5 linked regions of the Neurospora crassa OR74A genome follow. The protein of the gene in region 2 interacts with the protein of the main gene of each other region in a pairwise test. Links are inferred from orthologs where the notes say so. Each region holds a gene or a part of one and is shown on either strand. Other genes may lie near its edges.

What was found.
Region 1: the proteins of NCU09813 (region 2) and mei-3 interact in a two-hybrid assay, tested with the Saccharomyces cerevisiae proteins (2 studies listed by BioGRID). The link is inferred for Neurospora crassa OR74A from reciprocal best matches to the Saccharomyces cerevisiae genes SMT3 and RAD51.
Region 3: the proteins of NCU09813 (region 2) and NCU01171 interact in binary tests that used the Saccharomyces cerevisiae proteins (3 or more experiments, as listed by UniProt). The link is inferred for Neurospora crassa OR74A from reciprocal best matches to the Saccharomyces cerevisiae genes SMT3 and MCM5.
Region 4: the proteins of NCU09813 (region 2) and NCU02420 interact in a two-hybrid assay, tested with the Saccharomyces cerevisiae proteins (2 studies listed by BioGRID). The link is inferred for Neurospora crassa OR74A from reciprocal best matches to the Saccharomyces cerevisiae genes SMT3 and SAP1.
Region 5: the proteins of NCU09813 (region 2) and uvs-2 interact in a two-hybrid assay, tested with the Saccharomyces cerevisiae proteins (2 studies listed by BioGRID). The link is inferred for Neurospora crassa OR74A from reciprocal best matches to the Saccharomyces cerevisiae genes SMT3 and RAD18.

What each region holds. Positions count from the first base shown.
Region 1 is NC_026501.1:3,388,809-3,392,299, reverse strand, and holds mei-3 (MEI3), read right to left. Parts: upstream 2,185-3,491; 5' UTR 1,967-2,184; coding exon 1,871-1,966; intron 1,810-1,870; coding exon 1,662-1,809; intron 1,590-1,661; coding exon 772-1,589; 3' UTR 501-771; downstream 1-500. Other genes in the region: NCU02740 (hypothetical protein), read right to left, coding at 3,007-3,491. UniProt on the Saccharomyces cerevisiae protein: Required both for recombination and for the repair of DNA damage caused by X-rays. Its function may be modulated by interaction with other repair proteins. RAD52 interacts directly with RAD51, via its C-terminus.
Region 2 is NC_026501.1:4,134,519-4,137,681, forward strand, and holds NCU09813 (SMT3, variant 2), read right to left. Parts: upstream 1,918-3,163; 5' UTR 1,731-1,917; exon of another isoform or gene 1,513-1,730; 5' UTR 1,476-1,512; coding exon 1,236-1,475; intron 1,104-1,235; coding exon 1,044-1,103; 3' UTR 501-1,043; downstream 1-500. Other genes in the region: NCU16378 (DUF1903 domain-containing protein), read left to right, coding at 2,686-2,688, 2,784-2,831, 2,912-2,924, 2,995-3,163. UniProt on the Saccharomyces cerevisiae protein: Not known; suppressor of MIF2 mutations.
Region 3 is NC_026505.1:3,119,120-3,123,341, reverse strand, and holds the start of NCU01171 (DNA replication licensing factor mcm5), read left to right. Parts: upstream 1-1,422; 5' UTR 1,423-1,641; coding exon 1,642-1,787; intron 1,788-1,852; coding exon 1,853-3,385; intron 3,386-3,450; coding exon 3,451-3,946; 3' UTR 3,947-4,222. Other genes in the region: NCU01172 (GARP complex component), read right to left, coding at 1-585, 646-734. UniProt on the Saccharomyces cerevisiae protein: Acts as a component of the MCM2-7 complex (MCM complex) which is the putative replicative helicase essential for 'once per cell cycle' DNA replication initiation and elongation in eukaryotic cells.
Region 4 is NC_026507.1:2,554,564-2,558,824, reverse strand, and holds the start of NCU02420 (AAA family ATPase), read right to left. Parts: upstream 2,801-4,261; 5' UTR 2,537-2,800; intron 2,528-2,536; exon of another isoform or gene 2,452-2,527; 5' UTR 2,030-2,451; coding exon 1,937-2,029; intron 1,858-1,936; coding exon 1-1,857. Other genes in the region: NCU02421 (hypothetical protein), read right to left, coding at 3,343-4,261.
Region 5 is NC_026504.1:5,740,608-5,744,293, reverse strand, and holds uvs-2 (postreplication repair E3 ubiquitin-protein ligase rad-18), read right to left. Parts: upstream 2,311-3,686; 5' UTR 2,135-2,310; coding exon 1,588-2,134; intron 1,519-1,587; coding exon 560-1,518; 3' UTR 501-559; downstream 1-500. Other genes in the region: NCU05209 (hypothetical protein), read left to right, coding at 1-345; NCU05211 (hypothetical protein), read left to right, coding at 3,120-3,298, 3,351-3,441, 3,532-3,686. UniProt on the Saccharomyces cerevisiae protein: E3 RING-finger protein, member of the UBC2/RAD6 epistasis group. Associates to the E2 ubiquitin conjugating enzyme UBC2/RAD6 to form the UBC2-RAD18 ubiquitin ligase complex involved in postreplicative repair (PRR) of damaged DNA.

The sequences.
Region 1 (3,491 bases), about 750 kb from region 2:
TTCTGGCCGCCCACTGCAGCAGAAGTTCAACTGTTCAAGTTCCCAAGCACAGCGCAACGCTGCAAGCGTCGGTAGCAGTTGCAGCGGGTCAGTCAATCGCTGGCGTGGTTGGTGGGGAAACTCGGTGCTAAGCCCAAGTATCCCGCGCTAGTGAGAGACTATGCGAATAGGACACACTGCAAGGTGGTACGTCACATCAAGAAGGAAGCAATAGCCTTTGAAATCCGCGATTTTATTAACAACGCTAGATGGATGATAGCCCTTAATCTGTAACTTCAAGTCACAGAGCGTACCTTTTGTCCTGACACATTCCCTCGAAGATTATGTGGTGCATGGCCTGTTGCATCACGAGTATGGACGACAGCAACTTGGATTTCAATGAAATTTCCTTCACGTTAACGAGAGCTTCAGCTTCGGTGGTGAGGTCTTTGGATGATCAAACCTGTGACACTTGCCCTCAGCATCGAGACGCTGCTTCTGCACAGGTCAAATGATCAGTTGGCGAGATGACTTTGACGGCTTCACTTCGTCGATTGTATTAGAAAAAAAAAACAGTGTACCGTAGTTATTGATAACTCTACCAACTCCCAAGTTTTACCAGTCATACCAGACAAGTGTGACGCCAGGCTGCCCTCCCATGCTAACAATAAAAACGCGCTATGCCCATCAAAAACACACATTATCCTTATACCGTCAAATCAGCAGCCCCTTGCGTCCCTAGATTGTTGTATGAATTTCGTGTTGATTTGCTGTCGCCATCCCCACTGCAAACTACTGATTCATCTTCTCCATATCCTTCGGGCTAGGATCACCAATGCCGTCCTCGTTGATGGCAAACAAGCAGTCGCTCTCTGGTAAACATGGGCTGTCGTAGATCTTTGCGATTCTGGTCTCTCCGCGACCCTTCTTCAGGCTGATGCGAGTAGTACTGGCGTGCGCAATGATGTTGCCACCAATTGGTTTTTTGGGGTCTGGATTAAACATGGCAGACGGACCACCATCAACCTGCGCCACGACCTGATTGGTGATCACCACCGCAATACCAAACTCGTCGGCAAGGCGCTGGAGTGTGCGCATAAACTTTGCGAGATGGGTTTGGCGGGAACTGAGTTCGCCACGACCCAAGAAGTCCGTTCTGTAGAGCGAGGTCGCGGAGTCGACAATCAACAGACTGAAGCGGGTCTCGCACATCATGGCTGCGGCCTGGTTCAAGAGCTGCAGCTGATGGTCCGAATTGTAGGCTCTTGCGTACGCAACGTTGTCAAGAACTTCTTCGCCTGAGAGACCGTATCGGTTGGCCACTGCTAGGAGACGCACAGGCCGGAAGGTACCTTCAGTGTCGATGTAGAGACATTTTCCCTCACCACCCCCCATGTCAAATGGGAGCTGGCATGTTACCGCAAGAGTATGGCAGATCTGCGACTTTCCTGTTCTGAACTCTCCAAAGATTTCGGTGACACTGCCGGTCTCGATACCACCAGCCAATAGTGTATCCAGATTTTTGGAGCCTGTCGTGATGGAAATCAGTTCGCTGCGGCGCTGGTGCATCTCCGTCGCAGTAGTAAAACCCATAGGCACAAGTTTAGAGGCTTGATGATAGTGTCAGTAATCATGCACTCCCAAAATGGAACCTCTAGGAATGTCAAATGCTGGCTACTGACCTTCTGCCAGGATTTTCCCTGCCTTTTGCTCCGAAATACCTTTGATCTGCTCCAGTACCCTCCGGGGGGTATAGGCAACAGATTCAACGGTGTTGAAGCCTCCATCAACAATCAGCTGAATGTCTCGCTTGGTAAGTCCGGCAACACCCTAGGCAAGTCAGTTGGTTGTTTGCAATCCGGATGGATCCATCAAAGAAAGTGATCCGTACCTCTAGAGCAGAAAGTGGTGTTGGGGCGCCTGGGTTTGGTATCCCGCTGTCGTCCTCCATGTTGGCAGACTCATCGTACTCCTCGTTGTTCGACATCGTGCTATTTGTTGTGCTCTTCGGTGCAACAATTTCGGGGTTTCTTTACGTTTAGTGATGGTATGTATGACCAGCAGCGAGCGAAAACGTCTTGGATATGGCCACAGAAAAGCAAGACAGAAAGGCGCAAGAAGAAAAAAAAGCGAGCGGGACTGGAGCCAAGGATACGCAAATGTTGACAGAGGCGAAAACAGCAGGCAAGAGCGCGACCCGCGTCCTACAAATTGGGGAAGTGCGACACGTTAACATGTGACCTGGATGACCAATCCAGCCCAGCATGCGGGATACTAATAAGGTACCTACTAGACACCATTGGCCCCGCCGGATGCCTAGATTCAGTGGAGCCCAGACGGGAATGACGGAGGCGACAGGATGGTTCCCCTGTGGGGTCCGCTACAACGAACCGAACGGTCACCCCTGGGGGTTTGTCACTTCATGCCAATTCCGTACACCACAAACACTATGGTACTCCCCGTCAACATTGTCACAGGCGTCTTCGTATTTACGGCGTACACCGATACAGAGATACAGTTTTCATGCTATTTTATTCCTACTGCCCTCTGTCCGAGAACACCCTATCCAAAGAGGAGACAACAACTCTTGCTCATTAGGTTCTCGACGCGGCCGCCTCTTCCGAGTTTTTGCCACCTCGGTTTCTAGGACCAAGTATCACAGTCATTTAACGACGTCTGCCGCCTGTGTCCCATTTGAACAAATCTCAGGGAACACCCACAAAAGAAAACCGCAAGAATGGCCCAACAATGCAACTTTTGGAGAGGCCGATGTATGCTCCTCACTCACTACCTCCATCCATACCCAGACACACGACTACCCTGGCTAATTACCTCACCATCTTCCCTCCCCCCCCTTGCGGACTGTTAAGATGCGTCATGGTTTATCCTGGGCTCTATACCCGGTGTTCCAAGCCTTCCCACAGGTAGGATGTCAAAACCCGTCATCGACTCTCCGAGCAGCAGATCTGTTGTTAGGTGTAAAATGCAAATTCCTAGGCCCCAAGGTCGGCTCAGGGGCAGTGATTATCATGGGCTTCGTATCCTCCTGCTGTGCTGCTGATATATCACCTGCAAGGAGGGAGTGCCAAAGGGATCACCGACGGCGACATCTCTTCTTTCAGCTCCTCTTGGCTCATACAGTCTTTCCCCTCCTTCGCCGCCGCTGGATGAGTTATAGGATCTTCCACTGTCGCTTCTCGGTAACCGCTGATGGGCAGAATCAGCGTAGGAGTCGCCTGATTTAGAATCAGTGATTTGCTGGTCTCGCCTGGTAGGACCACCAATGTGCCCATCCCGGGCCTCTTGTTGTCGTTGGGAGTTTCTGGTCGGCACATAGATGTCATGGACTGCTGGTCTTTGTGGCGGCTGTGCTCCTCCGTCTTGGCCTTCGAGTCTGCGGAGGGTATCTTCGTTCAAAGCATGGGGAACCCGCAAGCCGTGGCGACGAGGGTAATCATGCCTCTGGTCTCGTGGGATGGGTGGGGGGATTGCCCCTGATGAGGCACTCTCCA
Region 2 (3,163 bases):
AAAGCATTGTAAGGGTGTTTTTTTTTTTCTTCCTTTTTTTTTTCTTCTGCATAGCATTGGAATCAGGATGTTCAAGTTGCTCTACATTTTCTTTTACTCAATAGTGTTTAGGGGTTCATATGTACGAGTATCGAGATACAAACAATATTATAATAATAACACATCAACACACGAAACTAGGATGTCATGGTGTGGTTATTCGGGGTTGCCTTGGACTTGTCAGCGTAGCCTACCTGATAGGCATTATGGACGTCATGGTTAAATCAGCCTTGGAAGATAAGCAAGGAGTTGACGATATCCCACAGCGCTCGGGAACGACGATCGAAGCTGGGCAAATTGGAGATGATGGTAGAGGAGAGTAAAGGCTCTGTCTACGAATATGTCACTGCAACGGGTTCACTGGCTGAGCGGGGACAGATACAACAATGTGAGTCCTTGAATTCCTAGGATAATAAACACTCGACAGCGCTCGAGAATGTGCATGGCATCATAAACGAGCACTCGCAGTATTGTTACAACATCTGGGACTGGAAAAAAGGGGGGAAGAAAGGGGGCAGAAGGCCATTTGGAAAGATGCCGTGTTTACGCTTCAAACAGAAGATAAGATGCCGGCAAAGCCAGTTGGCGTCCCGTCAAAGTATGGTATAAATAGAATCAAATCAATGTTCCTCGATACCCCTCCGCCCTATGACCCCAATGATAGCACCCTCCGAACTCCGGTTCTCCTAGGCATCACCTATGCGGCGAATAGGAACAAAAGTAGAAAAAGTGCGTGCGTCCAGTGACAATGGCAAAAGCTGTGATGTTCTCCGTAACCCCGTGTCCAATCCTGCTGTCACATTCCGAAACTCCCACCCAGTCCCTGTCCTGTTATAGAATCGGATACCACTCGCGAGCTATCTTCTGGTGATCAAGTCGCCGGTTGTCGTTCCGCTTGCTACTATGCATATGGCCGGTTGTAATTTTGTCTTTTTTGTATTTTTTTTTGTTGCCTTTTTCTTTCTCCCATCTCCTTGTAGTTGTAGTATAGGATCGCCTTTTATCTACCAGCCGCCGACCTGCTCTTGGTGAACTTCCAGGCAATCACCGTCCTGCATCTCGAGCTATATTATGGTAGCAATGGACCTGGTTAGCAAACATATTTCTGGCGTGCTCGGGTGCTTCGTCTACCATGGTGTTCCCGGGCTAGCAGCAACATCAACACAGATGTTAGGTGCATGCCAGACTTCACTTACAGTGTCCGGGGTGTCCGTGGGCTGTACGCGCTGACCCTCGAAGAGGAACCTAACCGAAGCCAGCGTCTTGCCCTGACGCTCGCAGAACGCCGTCATGAGCTTCTCGAGCTTGGTGCTGCGCTTGATCTTGAAAAAGACCTCGTTGTTGTTATCCGTCACCTTGATATTAAGGTGCTCGACGGCGGGGGCGGCGGCATCGGAGCCAGCGTTTCCACTTCCGTTCTCAGCGTTGTCCGCCATGTTGATGACTTGGGAGTTGGAGATGCTAGGCAGAAGTCTAGTCGCAAAGAAATTTCGTCAATGAAAACTGGAAGGGCCGAGTTTGAAGTGTCGATGTTCGGAAATGCTAGAGTTCCAGGCTGCGATGGAAGTCAGAAATTGCGCGCGTGTCAACGCGCCGGAGAGTCTCGTCCTGCCTGTGTTGTCGCACAACGAGATGGAGCAGAAATTGGTGGAGGAACAGCAAAATTCGAGAGGAGAAGCGGATTGTCTTACTGCAGTAGATAGGCGTATTGAAAGACGCTGTGGCAGACTTCTGGTCTTGGGAAGCGTCGAGTCAAGTAGGTCCGTGAGAATTTAGAGAAGTGGAAGGCGAGGTGCACCGGGTCAAGTCGTGCTTTTGAGGTGGAAGCGTGGTTGCGGCGAATGCAGTAAACGACGGCTGGAGGGCGGTTTGTAAGACTGCAGCAGACGCAAAGTTCAGGTGGGGCCAGCCTTGAAACACCAATATTTGTACGAAACCTTGATGCCTCCTCTCAACCTGGCCAACTTTTGTGGTAAGTTGCGCTCCTTAAGGCTCTACTGAAATGCGACACATGCGTATAATACCCGTACCTGGTCCAAAAGGTGAACATGAGACGAAAGGGCCGAGGAAGGCCAATTCGTGAAGGTGTTCATACACCGAATTGCAAGCCCACAGAACTAGGTGCCCAAGTATTTCACTGTCCGCCACTTGGCACTACTTCTAGGTCAACCATTCGAATACCAATCTTTCGCTCATCTTTGCAGACCACCCGACCTTGCGTCGCACAAGCCCTATAGTAATGAACAGTTCCTTGTAGTCCTAGTCCGCGGTTAACTGCCTGTTCCAGCGTTAGGTTGTAGTGAGGCTGGTAGAAGAATGGTACAGATAGGTTGACGCAGTGGTGGTCACCGATAAGTGTTTTCGATCCGGAGAGTTCCTGACATCATCCACCCGTTTTCCTTTACTGATAGGCGCGGCAACTGGACTGGAGAATGGGGTACCGAAGCACCGGGATTGTTTAGGTTGTGGGGATTCCAAACTTGCAGGAGGGAGATCCTCGAGCGTAGAGTCCCACTCGAAGCTCTGGCTTTTACCTTCCATTTAATGAACACCTGAGCAAAGGGTACGTCTAACTGCCAGTTCTTGACTTCTTCGCGATCCAGCTTCCAACCAGACGGAGTTCTCGACCGTTCAAATTTCGATACCATGGTGGGTTTAGGCGCAGTACCAGCTTCAGGTCTCCCCTTACAGAATGTCTCGGCTCTCCCCTGAGGCACTGCTGACCGTTCATGTTGCTTTGTTAGACATTGCAAGACGACCTCGCAGCCAGTCCGCCATGCCATCCACGCGCGGTTTGTTCCATGTTTCCCTTGTTCTTTTGTTACGGCTTGCACGCGTGGTGTGCTGACATGCGGTTCTTTCGTGCCTGCAGTGCGCGATACAAAGTGAGGATGACCAGCTTGACTCCTGTGTCGTTCAGAACTCGCAGTTTGCTGACCTCACTTCACGCCGCAGATTGCCTGACCAGAAACGGATTTGATGAGAGCAAATGCCAGAAACAGATAGACGCACTCTACGAGTGTTGCAACGCGTTTTACGAAAAGAACAGCGAAAGCGCGTCAACAGTTAGCTGCCCCAAAGCGAGCCTGCTACGGCTCAAGATGGAACAGAGAAAGAAGGCTAC
Region 3 (4,222 bases), on a different chromosome or scaffold from region 2:
AAGTATACCACGGGAATGGTGGATAATGGTGGAGGACCTTGCGATGCCGCTTTCCTGTAGCTTGAGCTGCGTCGAGCGGGACCCGGGGCTTCTATCGATGATATGGACGTAATGGATGAGCTGGATGCCCTCCTGGATGCGCCAGATCGTTTGCCCGGTCGTAGGTGGCCATCCTCGGCTGAGGTTGCGTCCGCCTTGCTACCTCGTCTGCTGTGAGTACCAGATGCCTCTTCTTCGTCTGCCTGAACCCGTCGTAATTGTTCGTATAACGCGCCGACTTGGGTGAGATATTGTGTGAATTCGGAATTGTCAATGCGAGGGACATTGGTGAGCGTGACAGGTGGAATGTCTCGAGCAGTCGGAGGCTTATGCGCAGTGGAAGCGGGTGCTGAGGTATGGGGAAGGAGGCCGGTTCGGACTATGGGCGGTTGGAGCAGGGTTGAGATGGCGTTCTGACCGGACTCTAGGACGGCGTCACCCCAGGTACCAGTGGAACTGTCGAGAGAGCCACCGATGGAGTGTATGGAGCCCGCCGTCGAATCCCGTCGAGAATGGAACGGGCGGCTCGGACTGCGTGAGCCTCTCCTTCAAGGAGATGTTAGTGTATATTACGGAAAGGGCATGGACAGACAAAGCGCATCGCACCCGTGGAAAGGAAAGTCGCCAAACCGCCCGGCATCGGGTATTGGCGAAAGACTATCGACCGACTTGCGAGCACCCTGGTTGGAGAACATGATGGCTCATAAGTCTCCCGGAAGTCCTAGGCCTAAGCTCAGGGGAAGACGAAATGGCCGTTGGTCATGCGCCGGTGGATTGGCGACGTGGGAAGATGGGGAGGGGGTTCGGTAATCGGTATTAGTCTATCGAGCTGTAGGCGCGGGCCGGCAGGCCAAGGGAAGCAACCAAGGTAGGTGGCGTTGAGGCTATCGTGGTCCAGAGTATGGGCGGTTACTGCGAAGGGTCACGGGGGTATCATAGCGAAACGAGAACAAGACAAGAACCAGATTGTATTTTCCACAGAAGATGGCCAAGAAGAGGCGCAAAGCTGTAGTCTCGACGCGAGCAGGTGTTGAGGTCAGGGACTCGGAGCTGCCTGTCGAATGTCAAGGTCCCCCCAATTCACAGCGGAAGCCACGCAGCGGGCATTGGATCCCACAGGACCCTTGTTCGGGATACGTAGCGCAGTTGAATGAAGCTCCGCCCGCCACTGATGATTACCTACGCAGTAAGTATACTGTGGTATGTATTTGAGCGGGCCACAAAGCTGGGTCTTGCACCGGTTGCTGCAAAAGTGTCTGGAGGGTGAACCCCCCCTAGCTGGATATCCTTTTAAGCACTCCTTTTCCTCCGCACTTCAGGGGGCCTGCCTGCTGAGCCGTCAGGTACCTGCCATTCAGCTACAAGTGGGGTGCCCATTAAAACCCCTGCCAAAAATCGCGTCTTGGGTGTGCAGTATCAATGTTTCTCGCGTCGCGGTTTTCGCACATGTTTTGCCATTTTGGATTCTCCCTCTGTTAGTTGTCTTTCTGCCCCCAACAACCCCTCCCTTCTCTGCTATTTTCTACAATTCTCCCGGTGCGAACATCTACGGCCAGTGCACGCGAGTAAACAAAACAATCACATACCAAGCCACCGTCAGCTATGGATTATCAGTCCGTCTTCTCAGCCCGGACCTACGCCGGCGCTGCTTCTTCATATGTACCAGAGGAGGACAGCAACCAGCACATTCGCGCCCAGCTCGAGGCTTTCATTCTCGACTTCCGACTAGATAACAGCTTTATCTACAGGTTCGTACTCTGTGTAGCATACTCCTGTCCTCTGTCGAGCTTCCTGTTAACATTACTCCTTCCAGAGACCAACTACGAGAAAATGCCCTTCTAAAGAAATACTACTGCGATGTCAACATTGGCGACTTGATCAAATTCAATGAAGAAATTGCCCATAGACTAGTCACCGAACCCGCCGAGATTATCCCTCTGTTCGAGGCCGCTCTGAAGCGCTGCACACACCGAATCGTCTTCCCAAACGAACCCAAGATAGACCTGCCCGACCACCAACTGCTTCTACACTCCAACGCCGAAGATGTTTCTATCCGTAACCTCGACTCCCTTACAATCTCCCGGCTGGTCCGGGTACCTGGTATCGTCATTGGTGCCTCGGTAATGTCGTCCAAGGCGACTGAGCTCCACGTCCAGTGCCGCAACTGCGGCCACGTCCAACACGTTCACGTATCCGGCGGCTTCAGTGGCGCTACCCTTCCCAGGACATGTGGCAGAATCAGGGCACCTGGGGACCCTGGCGAGAAGTGCCCAATGGATCCCTACTTTGTACAACATGAAAAGTCCAGATTCGTCGATCAGCAAATTATCAAGCTTCAGGAAGCTCCAGACCAAGTTCCCGTCGGTGAACTGCCCCGCCATGTCCTGATTTCCGCCGACCGCTACCTCACGAACCGCGTGGTGCCCGGCTCAAGGTGTACCGTCATGGGTATTTTTTCTATATACCAAAGTGGAGGCAACAAGAAGTCCACAAGCGGCGCCGTCGCCATTCGCACACCCTATCTCCGCGCAGTCGGTATCCAGACAGACATTGACCAAACAGCCAAGGGTCTGGCTGTCTTTTCCGAGGAGGAAGAGCAGGAGTTCCTTGAGCTTAGCCGTCGTCCAGATCTCTACAATGTCATGGCCGAATGCATCGCGCCGTCCATCTATGGAAATAAGGATATCAAAAAGGCTATCCTCTGTTTACTCATGGGTGGCTCCAAGAAGATCCTTCCAGATGGCATGAGGCTTCGTGGTGATATCAACGTCCTCATGCTTGGTGATCCCGGTACGGCCAAGTCACAACTGCTCAAGTTCGTCGAAAAAGTCGCTCCTATCGCCATCTACACCTCCGGCAAGGGTTCCTCCGCCGCCGGTTTGACGGCTTCCGTCCAGCGTGACGCTTCCACGCGCGAGTTCTACCTCGAAGGCGGTGCCATGGTTCTCGCTGACGGCGGTGTCGTCTGTATCGATGAGTTCGACAAGATGCGCGATGAGGACAGAGTGGCAATACACGAAGCTATGGAGCAACAAACCATTTCCATCGCCAAGGCCGGCATCACCACGATCCTCAATGCTCGAACTTCGGTCTTGGCCGCCGCTAACCCCATCTTTGGCCGCTACGACGACATGAAGACCCCGGGCGAGAACATCGACTTTCAGACCACCATCTTGTCGCGTTTCGACATGATCTTCATCGTCAAGGATGAGCACGAGCGCGGCCGTGATGAGCGCATCGCCAAGCACGTTATGGGTATCCATATGGGTGGTCGTGGTGTCGAGGAGCGGATTGAGGCAGAGATCCCGGTCGAGAAGATGAGGCGGTACATCAGCTATTGCCGATCGTAAGTTGTTTATGCTCCTATCTACCACCTTAGACACATAAAAACTGACATTGTCGCTCCTCCAGCCGCTGCGCCCCGCGCCTCTCTCCGGAAGCCGCCGAGAAGCTCTCCTCGCACTTCGTCGCCATCCGCAAGCAAGTGCACGCCTCAGAGCTTGAAGCCAACGCGCGCTCCTCGATTCCCATCACGGTCCGCCAGCTCGAAGCCATTGTGCGCATCACCGAGTCGCTCGCCAAGCTGACGCTCTCGCCCGTCGCGACGGAGAAGCACGTGGACGAGGCCATCCGGCTATTCCTGTGCTCGACCATGGACGCCGTCAACCAAGGTGGCAGCACGGGCAGCAATCGGGAGTTGAACGAGGAGACGTCCCGCGTCGAGGCCGAGCTGAAGCGCCGCTTGCCCATCGGCTGGAGCACCAGCTTGGCGACCCTGCGCAGGGAAATGGTGGAGGGTAAAGGGTTTAGCGAGGTGGCGCTGAATAGGGCGCTGATGATGTTGCAGAGGCGGGATACCATTATGTTTAGGAACCAGGGCGCGCAGGTTTATAGGAATGGCGCGTAGAAGGGATGGTGGGGAAATGACGGAGTGTTTTTCGAAGATGTTCCGACGAAAAAAAGAGAAAAGAAAAGCAAAACCGAAGCGTTCTTGCTCTGCTATTTTATTTTTCTTTGGGTGTACAGGTTAACAAGTACAATATGGGGTTTCATGGCAATGGGCGTAAGGGGGGCTCTTCCAATTTTATTTGGGTCTGACATGGTAGATATTTTGTCTGTCACAGTTTTCAACGGCCAGCTAGAAGACACACATTCGATGATCTTGCTGCAGTTTAGTATTCTC
Region 4 (4,261 bases), on a different chromosome or scaffold from region 2:
GCCGAGGTACTTACTTGTCAGACTACTAGCAGAGATGGAGAAGAAGGTAGATTTGGACTCCGTGGCCACTGCGCGCGCCAACATAGTCTTTCCTGTTCCCGGTGGCCCAAAAAGCAGCATGCCTCTGGCCGGCTCGCGAAGACCCCTAAATAGGTCCGGTCGGAGAAAAGGATAAACTACGGTCTCCCGAAGTGCATTTTTGGCTACCTCGAGGCCGGCTATGTCATTCCAGTGAACTTCATCACCCTGAACGACGATTTCGTTTAGAATCTGTTTTGCAGCATGTTCATCAACCCCTGGAGGAAGACGGCGCAATATCTTTGCCTTTTGCTTGTTCCACTTGGCAGCTTCTGACCTTTGTTGAGCCGCCCCATCGTTGCCTTCAGATTCTTGACTTTCGGAGTTGTGGGCCGGTGTATCGGCAACCAGGGAAACATCCCTCTGCTTCAGTATCTGTCTTAGGTGCTGTCTTGTTGTCGGCCGTCGGGGAGTTCCATATTCAGAATCCTCAGAACTTGACGAAATTGGGACTTGTTCAAGCTTTTTGCCCCTTGCCTTAGCGCTCATCCGAGGTGTATCAACATCCTGTGTCGTTGCCGATCTGCCCGACGCAGGCCTTGCCGTGCTTGTTAGGTAAGAAGTTCGGCTGATGGGCTTCCGTTGGGCCAGCGTTGGATCGGACATCTTTCTGTTCGATTTTCTGGTCGTTGTTGCGCTTCCTTTCGCAGAGTATGCAGTGTCTTCCTCATCTGTGTTCCCCGTCGCAGGCAGAGGCCTCCTCCTTGGTGTCTGTAGCGGAGCTGTTCTTAGCCGAAGTCCTTCCCCCCCTTCCAACGGCGAGCGCTCGTTGTTATCCCTCAAAGTCAATGCGTTGAGTGCACTTGATGCGGCAGCAGCGCTGATGGTGAAGGAGGATTGGCGAGTGTGTGTATGCTCATCAGAACGGCGGGGTGCCGATGATTCCGGAGTAGGCCGTGCATGAGGCGGTTTGGATTGGCTCCGAGGACGACCCATGACCAGTCGCCTGGTATGCGTGTCCCATTGCTGCTGCCGGCCTGCCAACGCTGGACTTTGACGTCGCCTTTCCACTAAGTAGGGAGAGGTTGCGGGCGGTACCGAACTCGTCTGATCAGTGGTGCCAATTCCCCCACTATTACCGCTGGCACTCCCTGACGGACTCGATCTTTCTCTTTTCCCAAGATAGCTCCAGGCAAGCGAGGCTGCCTTACTGGCACCAGGGCGTTCTGAAACCGAGGTTGGAGGTGTCTGGCGATGGCTAGTTCTCTTGTCTCCCAAACGTCCGGTCCGCAGGGTTGTGCGCATGGTATGCTTCTCGGGGCTGCGTGTCCCTGACGATGTTCCCTCCTCGAGCGAAGGCCTTGACGCCGACGGTGGTGACGGTAACACTGGTCGTGTGCATGCAAAGGGAAACTCCCCGCCTGGCGTACGCACCTCGGCAGAAGGCCCAGGTGTAGGCATGGTATGTTCTGAGATGGACCTAGACCCTACAAAGGGTCGCTTGGCGGGAGTTGGTCGGGAAAGGTCTGTATAGGTTACGGCTGGGATTGTTCCGTCACCTATCCAGCCCTTGGGGGGTTCTAAAAGGTTCGGCAACGGTGACAAACGTGACGCGGATGGTGTAGCGTCATGCTCGAGAGATTCGAGGCGCGAAAGACGCAGGGCCTCTAGAAGATCAATTCGTTCCTTGCACTGTACCTCGAGTTGCCGAAGACTGTCCACCAGCGCCTTCTCCGTCTCGGAACGTGGGGTGAAGGCTGGCAAGATTTTGTTTGCTTGCTGGTCATAGATTTGCTCGAGTGCCTGTTTCCAGCATCGCATAGCCTCATCCTCATTGCCCTAGATGACCGCGCAAGATTAGCACTTGGTTACTGACAGATGGGAGAAAAGGGTGACGATCACAGAACGTCATACTGACCTGGCCTTCGTAATAGACAGCAGTGGAGCATGTCAGGTAGCTTTCATCATATGTCTTTTGCAAAACTGAAGCGGCTGATCTGTTGCGCAGCATCGTAAGAAGTAAGACGTATACACATCACGGAATGTCTGTGTGCACTTTTCAAAAGGGCGTAGCGGACTTTCGCTCTCCAAGGGCGGCCTAGGTAGACGGGAGTGTCCGGTCAAGAACAGGATCTCAGCAGATGCTGTGGATCGGCCTGTACCCTACAGCTCTACGCGCACAGACGGCATCGCCGTTGCGAAGGATGTTGGAAAATCGGGCGGTCGCAAAACGTCCCGAAGGCAGTTGCCGAATGGAAGAACAGGTCTAACGAAGGGCCCCCAAGGAAGGCTCAGGTCCACGTTTCTTGAGGCGTAGAGGTACCAGCGCGCTTCTGTAGGCCAACCGGAATCCGGAGAGGAGACGTATTGGCGGTGCAACGGGACGTTGACGCAATCAATGTGCGTGGTTGATTCGCGACCAAGACGTGCCAACTAATTGAGTGTCTTGAGGTTAGTATCAAGGTTTTGTATACCAGGTAGGTATCCAGGATCTAAGCTTGCACACCAGTAGACCTACATATAGGATCGATGGTATCTTTGTTTAAGTGTAGTTATCGATGTTGCCTTATGAACGTTGTTGCAACCGCCTGAATGGGACCTACTAGCTCCCTAGCTGAAGACGTAGTGGGGCAATTGGGGCGGGAAGGCGGGGACCTGGCAGCCCGACAGTGGCAGGTACCCAGACCAGGCCTTTCTCGCCTTTTTCGTCTGTTTGTCTGCCTTGGCCCGTTCCACCTGTTTGTTACCTTTTGGCCTCTGGATAGTAACGAACAGGCCCAACCTGAGGGGGAGGCCGATAGCACGACTTGTATCGTTCATCTGAGCTTCCATCGGGACCATCAGCATCCCGTCAGGCGCGGCCCGAAAATGACGTTGATATGCGATATGTACCTATTCTTGGGCATCGGAAATCGGGACGGCCGAATGGGATGCCCCGCACCGCCCAATAGGTATTCAGCAGCTTCCAGATCCTCCTCGTCCGCGGCTCCGCGCTTGAGGGGACTCACAGGGCTGTCGGGATTCAAGCTCAGTCTCATCGCATGCAAGAGTGCTGTCAGTCTTGTATTTCCCTGTAAAGGTACCCAAGTTTGTCACTACTTGAGGGCCGTTTTTCAGTCATACGCCGACGACCACACCAGTGTACACGTACACACTCGACCGGGGTTCTCGGCTCCCGCTACTTCCCAAGGTTTACCTTACCCAGCAGTCCACTATGGTGAGATTTATATGAGATTGAAACTATTTTGACGAGAACATGGCAGACCTGGGTCCCGTCAGTAAAAACCATAGCTGGCTTCTCCTGCCTTCGCCGTTTCGCTCACGCTACGACAATAGCACGCGGATCTCGCTCGATGTCCTTGGGAACAGCGCCCGAAAACTTTGGGAATGTTCTTCGTCGCCGTCCTCCTCAACTCTCCTTTGCTCCTCCAATTCGTCAGCCGACAGCAACATCTCCTCCACATGTTCAAAATCCACGCAGAATCTTTCGGCTGCCTCCTCAATCACACTGCTCGCCAGCTTGGAATCCTGCAGATTCTTGAGCTTTTCCGTTGCATCAATCAGCGCCGATGGCAAGAAATCGTCCAGCTTCTGACTTGACTGTCGCAGTGCTTCAGGTTGAACCTCCTCTAGTGTCGCAACCTTTCCAACATCATCCTTCTTCCGTATGTCTAGCCCATCCAGCGCTTCAATGAGGGAATCTAAACCGGACTCGGCCCTAAACAGCTCGTACTGTGCAATAACCAACCGAGCCTTTTCCTCCTCAATTTTGGTCTGTATATCTGCAGCATATTTGCGAACAAAAGTGAAGCCGGAGAGCGTTGTCCGCGCAGCCACGAAGCAGTTGATCAGGAAGATGGATTTGGACGGCGGGGTGGCATGGTTGGCCATATTGATGCAGCCAGCCATGAATGGGTCGAATGCCTCAGCCATGATGGACGCGAACTCTGCTTCTGGATCATCACCCGATGAGCTTAGTGACGTTTCGTACGTTTTCATGATTGCCGATAGCTGTTCCAACGCATCCGTAAGGAAGTCGGGAGGCCGAAGGTCTGGTGGAGTGTGCTGGAACTCAGTTTGGAGAGTGGCGACGTGGTCCCGAGCCAGAGATCGGAATTGGCGCAATGCTTCCGTTTCGAGGGTACCCATCGCTTCAACGAGAATCGACGCCGGGCCCACCAACCTGGAGAAGGTGCTCTTATAAAAGTTGATGAGGTTCGCAAGTTTGAAGGCCAGAATGGTC
Region 5 (3,686 bases), on a different chromosome or scaffold from region 2:
GCAATGCTGATGGACCCTGGGGTGAGATGGCTGTGGTATTTTGGTGTGATGGAGGTGGCGGGGGCTATGTTGGTTGTCAGGAGTGTGGTGCGCGGGGCCGAGTATTTGGGGGGAACGGACGGGGTGGTGGCAAGTCATGAGTGGTTTGTCTATGTGTTTGATGGGGTGCCGATGGGGGTGGTGATGGCGGGGTTTTTGGTCTTGTATCCGGAGAGGGTGGTGAGGGAGGTGAAGCGGCAGGAGGGAATTTTGAAGGGGGCGGGCATGGGAGAGGAGTTGAGAGGCGGGGTGAAGGGGGAGTCGTATCCTGGGGGCGATGTTTACGTTGGGGGTAGGTGTCACTAGGTTCCTGTGGTAAGTAGTCTCTATCACTTTTACCCCCCGTCGACATCCTTCAGCGGACCCGGCCCACAGAAATGTGGGTCTTCTGGGGGTGGGGTGGGTTTTAGTGTAGAGGTTAAGTGGGTCTAGTCCGGATGGACTACAAATGTCATACAGAACACAGGGTAAATTAGTAAAGTAGGAGAAAAGAGTGCCTGTCATAATATATCCATCGGCCTTAACATGTCTCTGGATTTGGCTTCTTCATCCCACTCAGTTGAGCATCCCCAGGTATTGGTGGCTGCTGCTGCTGTGACGTCTCCCACTGCCGTTCCTTGTCTGGAGTCCCGGGAATGACTTGTTCCCTCATGGCGGTATCCTCTGCTATAGCATCCTTTCCAGGAGCTTGCCCGTCGTGTTCTGTATCCGCGTCATCCACCTGCCCCGGTCGTGGTGGACTTGATGGCGGGACAATATCCATCCGTGTTGGCGCTGCACTGCTTTCCCCCTCTCTCGCTTGTAGTGTCGGAAGTTCAGCTGGGCCAACATCCTCACCCCCACCCCCACCCTTGGTATCCGCCTTCTCCCCATTACCATCCAAAGTCTGCCTCTTAATCCCCTGCCGGGCCTGCTTGATCAAATCCCCAAAACTCCCTCCATACCGAGTTGCCCAAGCTTTGCCATCGAACTCCTTGTCCTTGATCTGCGCTCCAGTAGCTTGCGCCCTCGCCATGAGTCCGAGTCCCTGCTGCCCCCCTCCTCCTCCTGCTGCTGTGCCGGGATTCCCTACTGTCCGTTCCCATTCGTCTAGATCGCGAAGTAACTCGGACCGCTTTTTGGGTCGCGAAGAGTCGCAGTTGGCGTTCCAAAGCGTGATCCACTCCTTGTGGCGCTTCTCCAAGAGCTGGCGAGAACCGTGGGTGGAGAGGCCGAGTTCGGAGAGTTTCTTGCGCAGGGCGGTGTCGCGCAGCATGGAGTAGGCTAGGGCGGGGAGGCGTTCGGGTGGTTTTTGGTTGGTTTGAGATGTGAGGCGGGTGTTGAAGGATGGAAAGGTCGATGGCTGTGGTGTTTGAGCGGGGATCGGTCGTCGTTTGGATGCGGCCTGGGGAGAACCGGGACAAGAGGTGTCGAGGTGGCGGTCGACTTGCTGTTCCTTCATGCGGGTGAGGCAGATGGGGCAGGCTACTAGGCCGTCGTCTGGTGGGAGGTCAGTGATGATGATGATGATAGAAGCAACCCACGAGGAGCGGGAGGAGGGAAACGAACCGGGTGGTTGGTCGACGTAATCCGGGTCGGCTGAAGGTGTGGTGTCTTGCTCTTCTTGTAGTATTGCCGCTGTCAACTCGGCGGCTCGGGCTCTTGTTGATCTGGTTGACCTCCTCGGCCTCTTGCTTTCTGGGTCCTCCTCTTTTGGCCCCTCCATTTCGGTCGCCTTTCGTTTTGATGGCGAACTGGGGCCTGCTTGGTCTGGCAGTATCGCCTGAATGGTCGGTGGTGTCCTAGCAAACTCGAGAAGGACTTTGCGGGAGTTCTTGAAGGCTTCTACGGCTTCGCGCAAAGCCCAGTTGCCTCTGAGCTTGGATTCCTGGTCGGTGGCGCGACAGAGCGGGCACTTGCTGTCGACGGACAGACATCTTCGGATGCACAAGGAGCAAAAGGTGTGATTGCAGGATGTGAGCATGGGAGAGTCGTAAAAGTCCTTGCATACGTGACAGCGGAAAGCCTGTTCGACGGGCATCAGGCATGCGAGGGGCGTGCCCAGCCAGTCGGTCGAGTCGGGGACGTTGAAGGCTTCATCGCCAAAGACGTCCATGATAATGTCGGTTGTACTGAAGGGTATCCGAGTACTTTGTTGGTGGTGATGGCTGCCTTCGTTCTACCTGGAAGCCTGGAAGTAGTATTGTAGAAGAGACGGAAGATGTGAGACGCGATGTCTGCAAGTCGGACGAGACTGGTCGCGACTTTGTCGAGGAGGAGAATTCCATTACACTGTATTTACACAAACTGGCCGAGGGTCAGCAAGAATACCGAAGAGTGACCCGGGTATCTAGCACTCGGGATCTTTTCCCTGGGAATTGCTCTTTCAGTTGGTGTTTTTGTTTCAAGTTAAACATGGCTCTCTGAACATCTGCACTGCCATTATTCAACATTTACAGCTCTTTGTGGCCAACCTCTTACTTGCAGACCTTTGATCTCTCCATGACGGTATTGATTGTGCCCACGATACGGTAATGACAGGGCCTGCACGTGAATTGGCGACGGGAAGGCGTGCAGCGGGGGTGTGTTCTGGGGCCTTCAGTTTCCAGGCACAAAAGCGCTGCAACAGTGCAGTGGAAACAGAAGCCCCACCTCTTCGCTCCCCTCAGCCCAGACTATTCCCTTTTGGGCATCAACCAAAACAAAGACTGGAGCGGATTGGGTACTAACAATTGAAACCAAGACAAGGGAATTTGCTCCGGCAACAGGAACTCCATCCCAGGTCAGGTCAGGTCAGGTCTCCGATCCCTCGCTTTTTACTTGGTTTGTTTGACTTTGACTTTCTCTTTGTTGCTTTGACTCGATCGACGCAATCCCGTCATCCCTCCGACAACCACCATTATACCACATCGCCAGCCTCGTCGCCCACCTCCCTCCCTTTCTTTGACCAACTAATCATACCAATGCTTTGAACATCTCACTTGTTGCCATTCCTTTCTTTTCCGATCATTGCTTGGGGGTTTTTTTTTTTTTTAGAGCTTTCCCCACATCCCCAAATCCGGTTTGTTGACTTTTGGCGCCAAAGTAAACAAACAGCAAAAATGGCGATGCGCAAGGCACCACGTCTGCCCGTCGGCTCGGCAGCGTGGGTTGCAGAAGAGCGCGCATCGGCGCTCAAGGTGGCAGAGGAGGAAGTCGAAGAGTTCTCGTATGCGGCGCGCAATGAGATGGACTGGCTGAACGAGCACATGGAGGACATTTTCTTGGGCGAGAACCAAATGTGCGTTGTCTTTGTTTTATTTCCCTCTCTTTGTCTCGCTGACCAGGAACAGGAACATTGCCGAAATCTTCAAAACGCCAGCACGACCACGAGGCAAGACACCGCGGACAATTCGCAAAGGGCCCAATACCGAAGTGAGAGTGGTAAGCATCCAGACAGCGTCCATCATTCTTCTGCGACGGGCGACCAAGAGTGATTGATTGATTGATTGATTTTGTTCTAACCCACAGCAGCCCTTGGCCAGCATCTTCTCAGCGACGCCCAAGGGTGTGACACCTAATCCCTTCGTCCTCGCGCCGCCCGCGAACAACTCGTCATGGACGCCCAAGATCAGGCCCGATACGCCGGAAGCCGACGTCGAAGCTGATGACGAAGCCGATGATGTCCC